Linked DNA regions of Tamandua tetradactyla. The protein of the gene in region 1 interacts with the protein of each later gene in a pairwise test. Links are inferred from orthologs where the notes say so. Each region holds a gene or a part of one and is shown on either strand. Other genes may lie near its edges. The genes, in order: APOA1 and APOC1.

Evidence for each region.
Region 2: the proteins of APOA1 (region 1) and APOC1 interact in a two-hybrid assay, tested with the Homo sapiens proteins (2 studies listed by BioGRID, with this or other methods). The link is inferred for Tamandua tetradactyla from reciprocal best matches to the Homo sapiens genes APOA1 and APOC1.

The regions. Positions count from the first base shown.
Region 1 is NC_135334.1:23,995,419-24,003,347, reverse strand, and holds APOA1 (apolipoprotein A-I), read right to left. Parts: upstream 2,805-7,929; 5' UTR 2,658-2,804; intron 2,408-2,657; 5' UTR 2,388-2,407; coding exon 2,345-2,387; intron 2,134-2,344; coding exon 1,980-2,133; intron 1,325-1,979; coding exon 721-1,324; 3' UTR 600-720; downstream 1-599. UniProt on the Homo sapiens protein: Participates in the reverse transport of cholesterol from tissues to the liver for excretion by promoting cholesterol efflux from tissues and by acting as a cofactor for the lecithin cholesterol acyltransferase (LCAT).
Region 2 is NC_135342.1:18,177,043-18,184,503, forward strand, and holds APOC1 (apolipoprotein C-I), read right to left. Parts: upstream 3,259-7,461; 5' UTR 3,185-3,258; intron 2,433-3,184; exon of another isoform or gene 2,376-2,432; intron 2,257-2,375; 5' UTR 2,237-2,256; coding exon 2,179-2,236; intron 1,709-2,178; coding exon 1,561-1,708; intron 340-1,560; coding exon 279-339; 3' UTR 136-278; downstream 1-135. Other genes in the region: APOE (apolipoprotein E), read right to left, coding at 5,340-6,135, 6,449-6,620, 7,104-7,165. UniProt on the Homo sapiens protein: Inhibitor of lipoprotein binding to the low density lipoprotein (LDL) receptor, LDL receptor-related protein, and very low density lipoprotein (VLDL) receptor.

The DNA.
Region 1 (7,929 bases):
GAGTGGATGCTACCCTTGTACACAAGAATAGGGAAGCATTTGTTTAAATGTTGAATTAATAAAGGAGTAAGGGACACGCTCCAAGCTCTTCATTTGAGCCTGCCCATATCCCCCAAGTTCTAATGACTCCCTGGGGCCCCATGCTGTGTCCCTTAGAGCCAGAGGGCAGGAAGAGGCTCCTGTCATCTGTCCCGTGAACACCTCCACCTGTCTAGCTCCCCTAAGGGAACACCTGTGGAGACAAGGAACCCAGTTCTCCCGGAAAACCCAACCTGGTTCCCTGACCTTCCTCAGACAGGGCTGCAGGACTCAATTACTGGGACAGTTGGCATTGGGTTACCTGTTGTTTGCCTGGTCCGCTATTATCTCCTTTCTTTGGGCCCCGTTGGGAGTGGGGCTTGACTACCCTACTCCCAACCCAAGGCCCACCCAGCCAGGTTCAGCAGGTCCCCCCACCTGGCCCTCAAGAGGCTCCATCCGGGCGTAGGGTTGACAGGCTTCCCCTCGCAAACCAACCTAGGAGCCCCCCACCCCTGGCCGAGCCCCAGGCCGGCTCCCCTAGACGTCCCCTCCAGCACCCAGCACCCCAGGCAAAGAAGTTGTGTCCCACTTTGGAAACTTTTATTCTATGAAATTGAAAGATGGAAAGCAGAAGCCCAGGAGAGGGCCACCCTTGGGTCTGATGCTTGGGCCCCAGGGCCAGGAAGGGGTCCCGTGGCCTCAGCTGGGGTTCAGTTTCTTGGTGACCTCATCCAGGGCGGTCAGGAAGCTAGCCTTGAAGGTCTCCAACACGGGCAGGATGCCCTGGTGAAAGTCCTCGAAAGCGGGCTTGGCCTTCTCGCCCAGCACCTTCAGCTGCTCGGAGACCTTAGCGTGGTACTCGGCCAGACTGCTGCCGCCGTCCTCCTTGAGCGCCTGGAGCCGGGCGGCCAGTCGCTGGCGCAGCTCATCGCTGTGCGGGGCCAGCTGCGAGCGCAGCGTTTCCACGTAGCTGCGGACGTTTTCGCGCAGCTCCTCCGCCAGCGGGTTCACCTTCTCCTGCAGCTCCTGCAACTTTTGGCGCGCCGAGTCCCCGAACTCCTTGGTCAGCGGCGCCACCTTCTGGCGGTATTGCTCCATCCTCTCCTGCAACTTGGTCTGGAACTCGTCCAGGTAGGGCTGCACCTTCTGCTTTATCTCCGTCAGGTCCTTGGTCATCTCCTGCCTCAGCCCGGCTGTGTCCTTTTCCAGGTTATCCCAGAACTGCTGGGTCAAGGGGCCCAGCTGCTCCCTCAGCTTGGTGGCGCTGCTGCTCAAGGTGTCCCAGTTGTCCAGGAGTTTCATACTGAAGGGGCAGAGAGGGGCCGAGGAGTGACCTCCCAGGGACCCTGGACTCCCCAGGAGCTGGAGGCCCAGCACCCCAGTTTCCCTGTGTTGAGATCTGGGCTGTATGTGTCCCTGATTGTGCAGTCACTGAGGGCCAGGCTCTCCACCTAACTCTTCCCAGCTCCCCCAGCTCCCCGACCTCCCCCAGCTCCCCTTCCCCCCGCCCCATGCCCCATTGTACGAGGGACCCAGGCACAGAGCAGCGCAGGGACCCAGCCAGGGCTACTGAGTGAGAGACAGAGTTGGGATTGGAGTTCAGTCTTGCCAGTCCCCAGTGCTGGGCCTTTAAGAACCACACTTCTGTATGTCAAGCCTCCTCTCTTTCAAAGACAGCTGTGGCTAGGCAGGAGCAGAAGAGGCCGTACAGAGGGGAAGGGGCTTGCTGACTAGCAGGCGGGAGGCAGGGCTGTGATTACTAACTGGCCAGTATCTGTTCTGTCTGCTGGACAGCTGGTGACCATGCCTGGGGATCCCACTCCTGTTTCTACGGGGCCTCCTAGCTCATCAGCTAGCAGGTGGGGACTCGCCCAGCCTGGCTCCAGCATCCTCCTCCAGGCTCTCTGCTCCCTGGGGACCAGTAGCCCCGACCCCAAACCCCAAGGCTGGGTCCTTACTTCAGCTGTTTTCCCAGGGCTGAGGACTCAAATTGGGCCACATATTCTCTGCTGCTGTCTTTGACTGCATCCAGGTAGATGGTCATAAAATCCTTGATTCGGTCCCAAGGGTCCTGGGGGTCATCTTGCTGCCAGAAGTGCCGAGCCTGGCTCCCTGGGGGTGGGAAGGGGTGGGGGGGACCCGGCTCAGGCCTGCACCCTGGGATGGGATCTGAACTGCAATGCCAGGCTTGGAGGCCAGGGAGATGGGATGGCCGGTGCAGGAGTTAGTGAGAAATTGTCTTTTCTGCCCCCCGGGGAACACAGGGTTGAGGGGGCAGGGCCCCCCTGGTGGTTGAGGGGTCCCCGAGCTTGGGGGCACCTACCCGTCAGGAACAGCACGGTCAGGGTCAGCACCACGGCTTTCATCTTGAAGGGACGTGGGTGGCCTGCAGGAGAAGAGGGGCCTGGCTGGGCAGAGGCCGGCCTCTAGCAGAGGGAGCCCTGGACGCCCCAGCTCACTCCACCAAGACGGGAGGAGGGACAAGAAGTGGGGGAAGACCTGGGTACCCAGGGCCCCAGCATGGGGCAGAGTCTGGAGCCAGCATCCCAGAGCCAAGGCCTTAAGTGCCTAGAGCTGGGGGGTGGGGTGGGGTGGGTGGGAGCCAGTGTTCCTTGGAGGGGGGCAGCGGCACTTACCTGGAACCCTCCAGCAGTCTCTGAGCAGCCAGTTCTCCTCCTGGACCTATTTATGTCTCAAGGCAGGGGCTGGGCTGGGAGGCTGATAAGCCCAGCCTGGGTGCTGTGGCTGCACACTGTTCCTGGCGATGTGGAACTTAGAGTTCAAGGATCAGCTCTGTCCTGGGGCTGGGCAAATAGAGTGGGCAAACAGGAAGCTGCGGGGGCTGCAAGGCCAAGGGATCAAGGATTCAGGAGGGGGTGTGCAGGGGTGTGCGTGCAGGCTTGTCGATAGCCAGGCTCTGGGTGGGCTGCACCTACCCCCATCCCCTCCAGCGGGGATTGGAGCGGGCTGTGCACTACCATTGTTGATTGTCCCAGCACAGCGGGGGAGAGGGGGCAAGAGAGAAAAGAGCAGCTGGCCGCAGACTTCACTCCTCTTCCACCGGGTCCCCCACCTCCACCCCCACCCACCTCCCTCCCCTTGTGTCCAGGGGAGATCGTCCCACACTCCACCGCTGTTCCTCCCCCGTCCCCATCCCCTACAAAGGCAGCAGACATTCCTCCCCCAAGCACTGCCTCACCTCGAGTCGCACAGCCCCTGCACAACCCTTTGCTTTCTCCGACCCATCCACAAACCTCCCAAACCTATGCACCTGAGGCCCTGGAGAGTCAGCTGGGGGGACATGGAATGGCTCAGTGGTTCCCAGACTTTAGGATTTCAGAGGCTGCTAACATTTCAGGTCAAATTCTAGAAGCCAACATGGAGTTGCCAACTTTTAATCTTGACATGTAATGATACCATATACACCCCGTGCCCTGCCTCCCGCCCAGACCAAAAAAAACCCCCACCATCTTCCACAACCATCTCTTCAAAAAAGAAAAAAAAGGAAAGGTTTTTTAACATCAAAAAAAGGCATCAACTCAGAATAAGGACGCTTACTTAAATTGAATACCTATATCTTAATGGAAGCCTCTGTGCATTGTGCATATTTTCACAGCACACGCAGGTGACACTGGACACCAGCCTAAGGGTGTGGAGGCAGGACCCCGGGCTAGGAGGTGGTGGGAGACCTGGTTTGTTACTTCATTTTGCCTCCAACTGTCTGGAAGATGTTGAGCCAGTTGTGTTCTCTCCCCGAGTCTCAGCTGCCTTTCTGTGAAAGAGGGACAAGAAAACCCAGTTTCTCAGGCTGCTGGAGAACTGCGGGCGCTGCATGTGCCGGGGCTGGCCCCACCACTTTGTAAGGTTTCTCCTGGAAGGCCCAGGACCCCCGACACCCCCTCATTGACAGGACCTGAATCATTGAACCCGGGAATGGCCAAGCTGAAAGAAACTTTGAGCTCCACTTTTCCCAGCCTCCCCCAGACCGCACCATTATACAGATGAGACCAGAAGGAACTTGCCCAATGTCCCTCAGGAAGTTAGAGGTGGGGCTGGACCTAGAACCCAGGTCTCTGGACTTAGGACCCAGGGCAGAAATGTGCCATGTGCCCTCTGCTCAGGAAACTCCCTGATACTCTAAAACCCAGATGGTGCCCCTGCTGCTGGATTCTGGAGAGGCTGGCTGCCAGGTCTCCTGTGGACTCTAGCTAGCTGGTCTCTGGTTACTCATCTCAGAGAAGGCAGCTTTGGAGCCAGATAAACTTAGGTTGGAGTCTCAGCTTTATCACTTGTAAGTTGTATGATCTCAGGCAAGTTACATAAGCTCCCTGTGTCTCAGTTTCTTATCTGTTAAATGAAGATAATGATAGAATGTGCCTCTCCCAGGGCTATAAGAGGGACATGGGGGGTAGGCAGAATAATGCTCCCTGCACCCCCAAGATGCCCTTGTCTTAATTTTGTGAATGCATCACCTCACATAGCAAAAGCAAGTTTGCAGGTGTAACTAGGTCAAGGACCCTGAGATGGGGAGATTATCCAGGTGGGCCCACTGTAATCACAAGTATCCTTAAATATACAGGAGAGAGAGAGGAGAGGGAAAGGCGGAGGAGATCATGTGACCATGCAAACAGAGGTTGCAGTGATGCAATTGCTGGAGCTGGGCCCCAAGCCCAAGAACCTGGGCAGCCTCTAGAAGCTGGAGAAGGCGAGGAGGATTCTTCCCTAGTGCCTCGAAGGGGGGCATCCCTATTGCCACCTTGATTTTAGCCTGGTGAGATGCATTTTGGGCTTTTGTGATCCAGAGCTGTCAGATCACACATTCATATCGTTTTGAGCCACTAAGTTTATGGCATTTTGTTAAGGAGCAATAGAACATGAATACAACATGTATGCGAAAGTGTTAGAAGGGTACCTAGCACTCAGCAAACGGGAGCTATTCTATGTCCCACAATCCCAGTCTCTGGCATTCTGTTCCCTTGCTCCCATGAACACATCTGCATTGTCAGACTGTAGGTCTCCATCTTTCTTTTTTTTAAATGCAGTTTTATTGAGATATAGTCACATACCATAGAAACCATCCAAAGTATGCAATCACTGGTTCATGGCATCATCACAATGCATGTTTGTGTTGGCTTCTGGCAGCAGAAGCAAGGGAAGGCGGGAGTCCCATATTTCTCTGTGTGCCCCTGACTCCCAGCTGCTGGGATATAGGATATCTACCCAGGCCCAGAGGTCTGTGGAACTGTGCAGAGAGGGAAGTGAACAGCCCATCCAGGCCACCTCTTGGCTATCCCAGCTTTTTCCACCTGTGTGTTGAGTGGGAAAGAGGCTGGTGCCTTCTGGGGCAGCTCCCAGATGCCCTGGTCCAAGAGAGGCTCCTTCCTTTGGGGTTAGAGCTTGTCCCAGCCAGCATGTGGGGGATCTCAGAAGCTAAAAGCTGGACGCCAAAGCCACTTGCCACTGTTTTACTCTTCTCTTTGGTTTGTTACTGAATGATTATTTTAACTAAACCTAATACATTTGCACTATTCTTTAGTGGCCAAAGCACTTTCGCAGCTAACTTACTATGTGCCTGTCAGGCTCCAGAGCAGATTTTATCATTGTTGTTTTGCCAGGGATTAAAGCACAGCTTAGAGCTGCTAAGTGTCTCACTTGTGTCCTACAGCCTTTAGTATTTGGTGTTGGCACGACTGGGACTCAGGGACCTGGCTTACAGCTGTTGAGTGTTGCCTGAGGACTACCAGCAGCAGGGCTGGACTCCTACACCCTTGTCCTCTGTTCAGGAACTTCTCAGTTCCCTGGGTTGGGGTAGGGGGTGCTGCTTGACAGCATCTTTCCAAGCAGGAAAGTTCCTTTTAAAATATACGTATTCACTAGTGTGTCCCCTCCATTTCATTGAAAGACATTTAAATTAGCCCAATCCCCTTGTTCCTAATATTTTGAAAAGGAAGTCTTTTTGGACAGAGGCCTTATGGAAAAACTAACCTGGCTCATCACAGACTCTGATTCCGAGGGCCCAACCAGTGTAGGCTGTGGAGCGCCCACAAGTGTAGGTCATTATTCCCAGCACCCTCCTCCCCTTGTCCTACGAGTCTCCAGAGTAACCATCTCTGCAGTGGGTCACTAAGTGGCAGGTCCAGGAGCCCCTGACAGGCCTGGGAGTGCTGGAAGTAAACCATCAGCGACTCATTTGGGTAACAAGTTGATCTTTCACAACGTATGTTCCAGCAGGTCTGTCTGCATTGGAAGGACTCTGTCCCCTGCTAGACCTGGCACATAGTAGACACTCAATAAATAGTTGCTCAATGAATGAGACTGACATACGAAAGGAAGGGTCAGCGAGAGATAAGGAGTCATTTGGAGGCATGGGCCTTAAGAAGAGCCTCTGGAAATTCTGGAGCACTCTTGGCTTGGTATAATCCAAGAGCACATGGTACGTACTGAGATGTGATGCTGAGGGGCGAGGTGAGGGTGGGGAGGAGGTTCTGGTTGAGCAGAGCAGACAGTATTTCCCTCCACCCCCACCCCAGTTTTCCTTTTAGCAATTTTATTGCAGCTCCTGGTGAGAGAAAAGAGAGCCCCCAGTTAAGCCTTAGGGCAGGTCATTGTAACCAAGCTGCTGCCCGATTCTGTCCTGCTCTCCTGCTCAGGAGACTAAGGTAAAGGCAGAGCTCATCTGTGAGTGGCAAGAACAGGGGTCTCACCCCTCAGGAGACACACCAGTCCTCTGAATTCTTGATCCTTGCAGTTGGGGTTGGGTGGAAGCTGACATAGAGTCGGAAAGAAAAGGAAGGATCTGCCAGAATGGCTTCTATTTTCTCAAGCTCAGAGATCTCTTATTTATCCAGGAGATAGCTGTTTCCTCTCCAAGCTCATTCTACCTCTAGCCCGAAGGCACCCTGGAGGGAGTGCCACATATTGCAAAAGGTTGTTTCAAGATTTTAGAAGGCATTTGGGTCTATCACTGTTGGTGATTTTAAAGATACCTAATCTTAAATGAGTGTACAGGACTCAAAGGATTTCTAAAATTGTTATCTTGAGGCCCGTATTGCAAAAGGTCTTTTCTGTTCTAAATGGCCCCGTGGCTTCTTTCTAGTTCACACTATTGAACGCTGATGTAAGTCCCCTTTTCTCATCCCTCTTTCTACAAACTCAGTATTTCTGGCTTCAGTAATGTTTTCACCTTGAGGCCCTTCAGTCAGCTCTCTTAGCCCTGCCTGGGCCCTCCCAGGAAATTCTACTCTGACCTTCAGGGTCCAGGTGAGGGAAAACAATAGGAAAAGTCCCCTTTCTATTCCAATACTTATTTGGCTATTGTATCACTACTCGGATTGGAGTCATCTCGTAAAAGCCCCAGCCTGGGACAACTCTTTGAAGAGGCTACACCTTCAAAAGCACTCTCTCAAGGACCCTGTTTACCATCAAATGCAGGAAATGCAACTGCTCCCTTAAGAGGGGACAGAGTCCAAGCAGGGTGCCTGGAGGGACAGTATGAAGCTGAGTTCAGGCATCTACAGAAATGCTAGTTTCACAAGGCCGGGTGAGAGAATGAATCACTCCAACTCCACCCTTGACCTCTTAAGTTTCCAGTGTATCTACCTTCCACCCACCTGGATGCTTCTCCCAACTAGGCTCCGAACCACAAGGCAAATAATAGAGCAACATAAGATCATAATCAGGATTTTATTTTCACAATCCTTTACTGTCCAACTAAGTTATTGAGTTGTAAGTGCCCCACAAAAAAAGGATGAAAGGTCTTACTGCAACTTGGGTCTGGAGGGTTTTTTTTTTTTAATCCTCTTTTAGTTCAACATAAATGAGAAAAAATACTTCTGACATTTTAAAATAACAGAAATAGGAAAGTATATTCATATACATTCAACATATACTGCGCATATTGGTTACTAC
Region 2 (7,461 bases), on another chromosome or scaffold:
TGACATTAGAGCAACAATCCTTAGCATCGGGCAAGTGGAAAATGCTCATTTGGTCTGAGTTCCTGTAACTCTTTCCCGAAGGCACAGCCCATACCCTGTCCCGCAGCCCCTGTCCCACAGAGAAGCACTCAGGTGGACTCTTATAGGACTTTATTAATGTTTAAGGAGACATGAGTCATTGTGGAGGGAGTCCTCAGGGCAGGGTCCAGGATGTGGGAAATTTCAGAGGCCTCTCCTTTGGCTAAGGACACAGAAGAGCAAGACGACCCTCCGGGTGATCAGGAGAAGGCAATTTTGAATTTCTCCTTCATCTTTTTTAATGTGTCTGTAAACCAGTCCCTGTTGGGAGACATGGAGGAAGGGTCCTTGGGTGCCATCACACCTCCTGCCAGGATGAACAAATCCCCGCCCTACCCCCTATTTGTCTTCCTGATTTCCCTGCACCTTATCCCCTCTTCCCCAAGAAAAGAGCTGAGTTCCCCACTGGTCTGTGGGCTTAGCAGGAGTACAGCACTGGGTGAATATGGCCCCTTGCCTCAGTTTCCCAGATGGACCAGAGCCCCTTGAAGTTGGAACACTTCACCCTGGCCTGGCTTTTGAGGTCTTCAATCTCCCACCACCTGCCTTTTTTCCAAGCCTACTCTTGCCCTAGCTCCCTCCTCCTCCAAGGGCTCTTTCTGGCCTCTCGACCTTTGCCCAGGCTGTTTTCTTTGTGTCAAAGGCCACCCTCTCCAGAAGTCGTTCCTGGCAAATTTAACCTTGCATATCTACAGATCCTCCTGCCTGAGGGCCTTTGCACTTACCTCCATTGAGGGACATTCTTATGGAGTTTCTACCTGGATGGACTTTCCTAACCATTCTGATCTCAATTTAAATGCCACCAACCCTTTTCCAACCCCTCCAAGTCTTTGGCCACCAGCCTGTCTGTTTATGGTACTGGGCTCTTTCTGCACTAATCTCCTGGATGGTTGGCTGGTTTATAGTTTGTTTTATCCCACCTAGAATGTCAGCTCCCTCAGGGCTGGAACTTTACCTTGCTCACTATTGTCTTAGTCCCCACATTGGAACAATTGCTGGCATTTAGCAAATGCTCAGTCAATGATTGTTCCCAATGAACAATTCTCTATCCTGGCAGCACCAAATGGATAACATGTCAGAACCTACTGAACATTTTCCAACGTGCCAAGCCCTCTGCAGGTCCTCCAGGTTACTTCTCTCCAATAAAAGCCATTTTACAGATGAGGAAACTGAGGCTCCAGGGTGAAGCCCCTCTCCCAGGATCATGCAGGGCATAAGGGGTCGACGGCAGTTCCATCAGACTCCCAGGCTGGGCCCTTCACCATCACCCAGGACCATCTCTGCAATGTGCCCAGGTTGCGAGTTAAGGGACCTGGCTACCCAGTCTGAGCAGCCCTAGCTGGCTGCGGGAACACGGGGATATGGTCGACTATCTCTGGGCCTCTGTTTTCCTCATCTGTAAAAGGGGGAGGACCTGGGCTTCTCCTTCAGGCTTCCCCCAGAGACACCCCAGCCCTCTCCTGCCTGGGGCAGGGTCCCCACCGGGTCTTGGCTGGAATGTCGCTGTTTTTGATGTGTTCAATGGCTGCCCGGGACTTGTCTTCCAGGGTCTGTCCAAGCTCCTTCAGCTTGTCGGGGAGGCTCTCCAAGGTCCTGTGGATGCTGGGTGCCGCCTGGGCGGGGGCTGGGCCTGCTCAGAGGATGGAGGGGCGGGGCGTGCGAACATTTCAGTACCGGGAAGCCTTACGATAGGATTCCAGGGATGGGGAAGGTCATCCTTGAATGTGATTCTAGGGGTTCATGGGGGTGAGAAACGGGGGTACTAGAGCGACCAGATGGGGCTCAAGTTGTCAGGGATTGCTTGACTCTGCCACCCCTCGCCACCTCCCAGGCAGCAGAAGCGGGCCAGCCAATCCCTGGGGGAGGGGAGCGTTACGTCATCGGTTGCTAGGGCTTTTCTGAGCCTATTCGCTGCCTGCTGGGCCGCTCCCGGGAGAGGCTTGAGACCCACCTGGCACTGGAGGGTGGGCACGCCATGGACTCTTAGGGGTCAGGGGAGCAAAAGGGGTCCCAGAGTTCTCAGGGGTGCCCCAAGTTGGCCTGTGCCCAGCTGCACGCTTCCAAACCCCCAACTCTCAAATCCTCCAGTTCTGCGTTTACCTTCCAACACCATCCACAGAGCCACCACCAGGACCGGGAGCGACAGGAGAAGCCTCATGGCGGGGCCGGAGGGGCACTCTGCAGGCGGAGCGGGGCGGGGGCGATCATGACCTCCCTCCTGCCTCCCCATTCATCCCCACCCCTCCCTTTCTTGCGCTTTTGGGGGTGGGGTCCCGTCCCGGGCTCTGAGCACTAACCTGAATCTGATGTAGGACAGCAGGGGTGGGAAATCCTGGCCCGCCCAGGGCCTTTATCAGCTGGGAAGGGGGCGGGTCAGGCTGGTCTCCCGCCCCCTGAGCCACCCCCTGGCCTCCTGCCTCCTCGTACCCACCCGCCTTTTCCTCTCTCTGCCCCTGGCTGTTCGCGGTTTGGGGGCTCAGAGGGGACCCAGGTGTGTCCTGGAGGCTGGAAGCCCCTTGCTGTTTGGCACTCTCACCCCCTAATTTCCCCGGCTGGGGGGTGGGGGGGCAGGAGGTCTTCAGACTGTCACAGGCCTTCCTCTCCTTTGGAAACAGCCCTCACTTCTTGTGGCTCTCTTCCCTCAGGGGTCTCCTGCTTGCTACCCATTTCCGGGGGTTCCTCAGTAACCCTGGGTGGGTCCGGGGGGCTCAGCCCCCCAGTTCACACTCTATGTCCCCAGGCCCCTGTTTCCACACACACATACCCCCTCCAGAGCTAGTCTCCTGGAATCACACAATTCTTCCTCCTGTGCCCCTGCATGTCTCCAGCTACAGCCCCACACTCCAAACCCCCAAGTCACCTCCCGCCTCCTTCAAGCTCCCCCTTCTCCTGCACCTGGGAAGGACTTACACTTCTACCAACGCTCTCTGGGGTCTTAACTTCACTGCCCTCAATCTCCCTTTTTGGGGGGAATGGGGTGGGGAGGTGTCTCTACAGCCTGTTAAAACTCCAAAACTTAAGCTTCAAGGCTTCCAATGTATGCCCTCCCCCCATCCATTCCACCAAAGCCCAGTCCCCCTAACCCCCTCCCCTGTAAACACTCCACCTGCTCCTCTGCGCTCTCCCAGGCAGCACTCCTAGGTGCACTTGGACATCCTTGCATGGATCCCGACCCCTGACCCTCCTCCCTGCCACCTCCACATCTGCCCCCCAGGGCTAGAGGCAGTCTCCTCCTCCTCGGCTGGCCTGGGGGCTGGGCTGCCTCTGACCTCCCTTGCCCCCTGACAGTTGGTTTGTCTTGTGCCCTAATCCCGCAACCACATGTGGAGGCCTGGCCTTGGGGGGTGGTTGTGAAAGGGCTGCACAGAGGCCGCCCTGGCGGGATTGCGACAGCCCCTGGTCTGGCCAGCTCAGCGCTTCCAGTGTGCGCGCCCGGGCCACCTTCCCAGACGTCTGCTGCCCAGCCCTGCTCCCCGCTCCCAAGAATAGAATGACAAACAGCCCCCAACTCAGCTACCAGCAGTTCTATTTTACAAATGAGGAAACTGAGGGACACCCAAGGAACATCCATCAGGTCAGGGAGGGGTTAAAGGGCGGAGTGTCTTTGCTCCCCATCTCTGCTTCCCTTCTGCGGCCAGTCCCCCACTCCTACCCCATGGCACCCACTGCCACCTCTGCTCCCCAAACCCCCTTCACCGGCTCTTGTTCCGCCCCCTAGAGCTGGCTGAGGCTGTGCTGAAGGGGCACCCCTGCCCCTGTGCTGAGATTTCTTCCTCGTCCAGAAATTTTTAGCAGTCTTAGGGGTCCTAAGATATATATGAGAATTCAAGATTCAGCTGTTCAATGGAACCATTTATTAGTTCATAGTGTTAGGTGATGTGCACCTCAATTAAAAAAATTTAAAAGATTCAACTGAAGTTGGGAGACATGCCAATGTACGCCCCTCTCCCCACCCCTGCACACCTGGTTGATATCTGGGGAGGCTGAAGCAGCAGCACCCGGGCCAACCCACCTAGGAGTCACTGACCCTCCTCCTCCTCCCTCAACCCTGTGGGTCATCTCAGGGGGTGGGGGGCAGGGAACCCTCCTCCACATAGGTGCTTAAGGCTGGCCAGGATCTGCAGTCAGCACAAGGACTTGGAGAAGCTCAGGCCTGGCCTGGGAGACACACGTTCAAGCCTGGGCCCATGCCCGTGGAAGCCTGACTCTCCTCAGCTGAGAACTGAGGGGGTGGCAGAGGGAAAGTGCCAGCAGCTCCCAGGCGCTTCATCCCCACCCCCCTGCCCCCCCACCTCCGCCACTGGCCAACCCTGCCAACTTCCAACTGTGTCTCCCTGGCCCCGACCTCCACGGAGTCTCCAGGAGGCCTGGCATAGGCCCACCCAGAGCAAGGCCACCTCGCCCTTCTCCCCCAAGGTTGATAGCTGGGAGATATAAGAGGCAGACAACAGGACTGGAGGAGAGGGACAGAATGAAGGTAGGGGGAGGGCAAGGCAGCTGGGCAGGAGTGACAGAGGGTCTTGCTTAGAGGAAAAGCAGGTTCGCCTAACATCGATGAGGAGGATGAAGGAGGGCAAGGGGGAAACGAAACCCTACGAGGGAGAGATAAAAGATAGAGGTGGAGGAAAACAGGAAACCAGCTCTCAGGGAGAGCAAGACAGAGGCCCAGAGGCCAGGGAAGGGAAGGAGGCAGAATCAGATAAGGCTGGACGGAGAGGGAGAATCGAGAGTGGATAACAGTAATAAGATGGCACTGGTCTCGGGGCATTTTGATTCATGAGTGTAGGAGGCAGGTGTTGTTTATTATGGGGACACAGGTGTTGTTTTTTATGGGGAAAGGGAGTCCTCCACCCCCACTGCTCAACATCACTCAGATGGTCTGAGTTAACAGCAGGATTTAACAGCCCAAAGCTGGCTTTATTCCAGAACTCATGTTTTGGAGACAGAAACAAAACGGAGGCCAAGATAAGAAAAAGGGAGAATGGAGAGAAGCAGGGACACACACATGGAGTCAGCCAGGCAGAAGCGCCAGGATGGGGCACCCCAAGGCCAGTGTGGTGGGGAAGGAAAGAGAAACCGAGGCTCAGGCTGTGAGAAATCACGACTGCATGCCTGGAGACTGCTGTGAAACTCCATGAATCTTTATTAGATTGGGGCCCCCAAGGAGAGCAGTGGGGGCAGAGCCAGGGCTCCCAGCTGGCTGAGGGGCAGACAGAGCCATGAGGCAGGAGTGGGGCGGGGTGGGCACAGCGCCTGGGCGCTCACTGATTCTCGCTGGGCAGGGAGGGGGGCGCGGTGGTGGGGATAGTGGTGGGGGCGGTGCCCACGGCCGCCTTCACCTTTTCCACGAACTCCGCCCACTGGCGCTGCATGTCTTGCATCACTGGCTCGAACCAACCTCTGAGGCGGTCCTGGAAGGCCTCGGCCTGCAGGCGTATCTGCTCGGCCTGCTCCTCCACCTTGGCGCGCACCTCCTCCAGGCGGTCGTGGGCCTGGGCGCGCACCTCCTCCAGGCGGTCGTGGGCCTGGGCGCGCACCTCCTCCATCTGCTCGCGCACCTCCTCCAGGCGGTCGCGGGCCTGGGCGCCCATCTCCTCCAGCCGCCCGCGCAGCCTCTGCGCGCGCTCTCGCAGGGGCTGGCCCACCAGGCTGCTCACGGTGGCGGCCCGCAGGCGGCCCTGTTGCAGCAGCGGCCAGAGGCGCTCGCGGATGGTGCCCACGCTGCGCTCGGCGCCCTCCTGGGCCCCCGCGCGGTACACGGCCAGGCGCTTCTGCAGGTCCTGGGCGTCGCGGAGCAGCCGCTTGCGCATCTTGCGCAGGTGGGAGGAGAGGCGGGTGCGCAGTTCGTCGGTGTTCTGGCCCAGCATGACCTTGACCTCGTTGCGGTATTGCTCCAGGCGGCCGCGCAGGTCCTCCATGTCCGACGCGAGCCGGTCCTGTGCCGCCTGCAGCTCCTTGGACAGGCGCGCCCGAGTCTCCTCGGCCACGGGCCCCAGCTGGTCATCCAGCTCGGACTTGTAAGCCCTCACCTCCTTCATGGTCTCTTCTATCAGTGTCCTGTGGGCCAAGAGGGCAGGCAGGAGAGGATGGAGAGTCAGGGTGGAGAGAGAGAAATGGGGAGAAAGACCCCCGCTGGGGCTGGGCAAGAAAGTGGCAGGCAGAGAACCCCCCAAAAAACGAAGGGGGGAAAGGCAGAGCGGGAGATACTACACTACAGGAGTCAAGCCAGGAGTTAGAGACGGAGGCAAGCAAGAAATGGACAGAATCCAGCAACCTCAAGAGTTGGTTACAGGAAGAGAGAGAAACCCAGACGTGAGAGTCCCCAGGGAGCCTCCCATCAGGAGGGTCCGGCGCCCAGGCAGGCACTCACGTCAGCTCCTTGTTGACCTGGGTGCTGCGGAGTTCGTCCTGCACCTCGTCAGTCATTGTCTGCACCCAGCGCAAGTACTCCCAGATGCGTCTCAGGGCTAGCTCCCAGGGCTTGCTGGGCTGCTCCTGCCCCAGCGGTACCTCCAGCTCCAGCTCTGTATCGGCCTGGCATCCTGTGAGGAGCAAGTTCACAGCCTGGTCAAAGCCCTCTTGCTCCCTCTGGCCCCTCCACCAGGTGCCTGGAACCCAGTGGCTGCTCCGCAAGTCCTCATGGACTTCTTTGGAGCAGTGGAGGGGGGACCCCGTGTGTCTCATCACTTGCCAAGCACGTATAACTGTCTTTGCAGGCCCCACGCAGGGCCATGCCAGGGGGTGTGGGGAGAGGGGTGTAGGGATGGAGAACAAACAGAATCACAGCTCAAACTATGTGCTAGAAATTGTTGTTTCCATTTTAGGGATGGGGAAACTGAGGCCCAGAACCAAAGAATAGCAAAGAGGCCTGAGACTCAGGCCTGCTCTCGAGCGAAAGACTGTTGAAAGAAGGGTGGGGGTGGGGGAGCCCAGGGCCTGAAGGGGGCAGGAGTAAAGGTAAGTATGGGAGGAGGAGGGGGAACCTAAGCAAGCCCGCCGGCCCCCATCCCACCAGGTCACCATACCTGCCAGGAGTGTGACCACCAACACAGCCCACAGAATCTTCATCTTCCTGTGATCAGCCAGTCTAGGGAGAGAGAGAGACTCGTCAGTCCCATCCCCAGCCTTGAAAGGCCGTGCCCACCCGCCCACCTCCATTATCTATTATGACCTAATCCAAACACGTTACCAAACTGCCTCTCCATTGTCCATGTGATTCCCCATTGTCTTCTCCCATCTCCTTGTCCACATTTAGGTGGCATCTTCCTCTCCCTGGGTTCAAATTCCACTCACTGCGCCCAAGTTCCATCTGTGTCCCAACTGTGCTTGCTAAACGTCAACACTGCATTCCTTGTTCTGCTTTCCCCTTTTAAGCTTCAACTT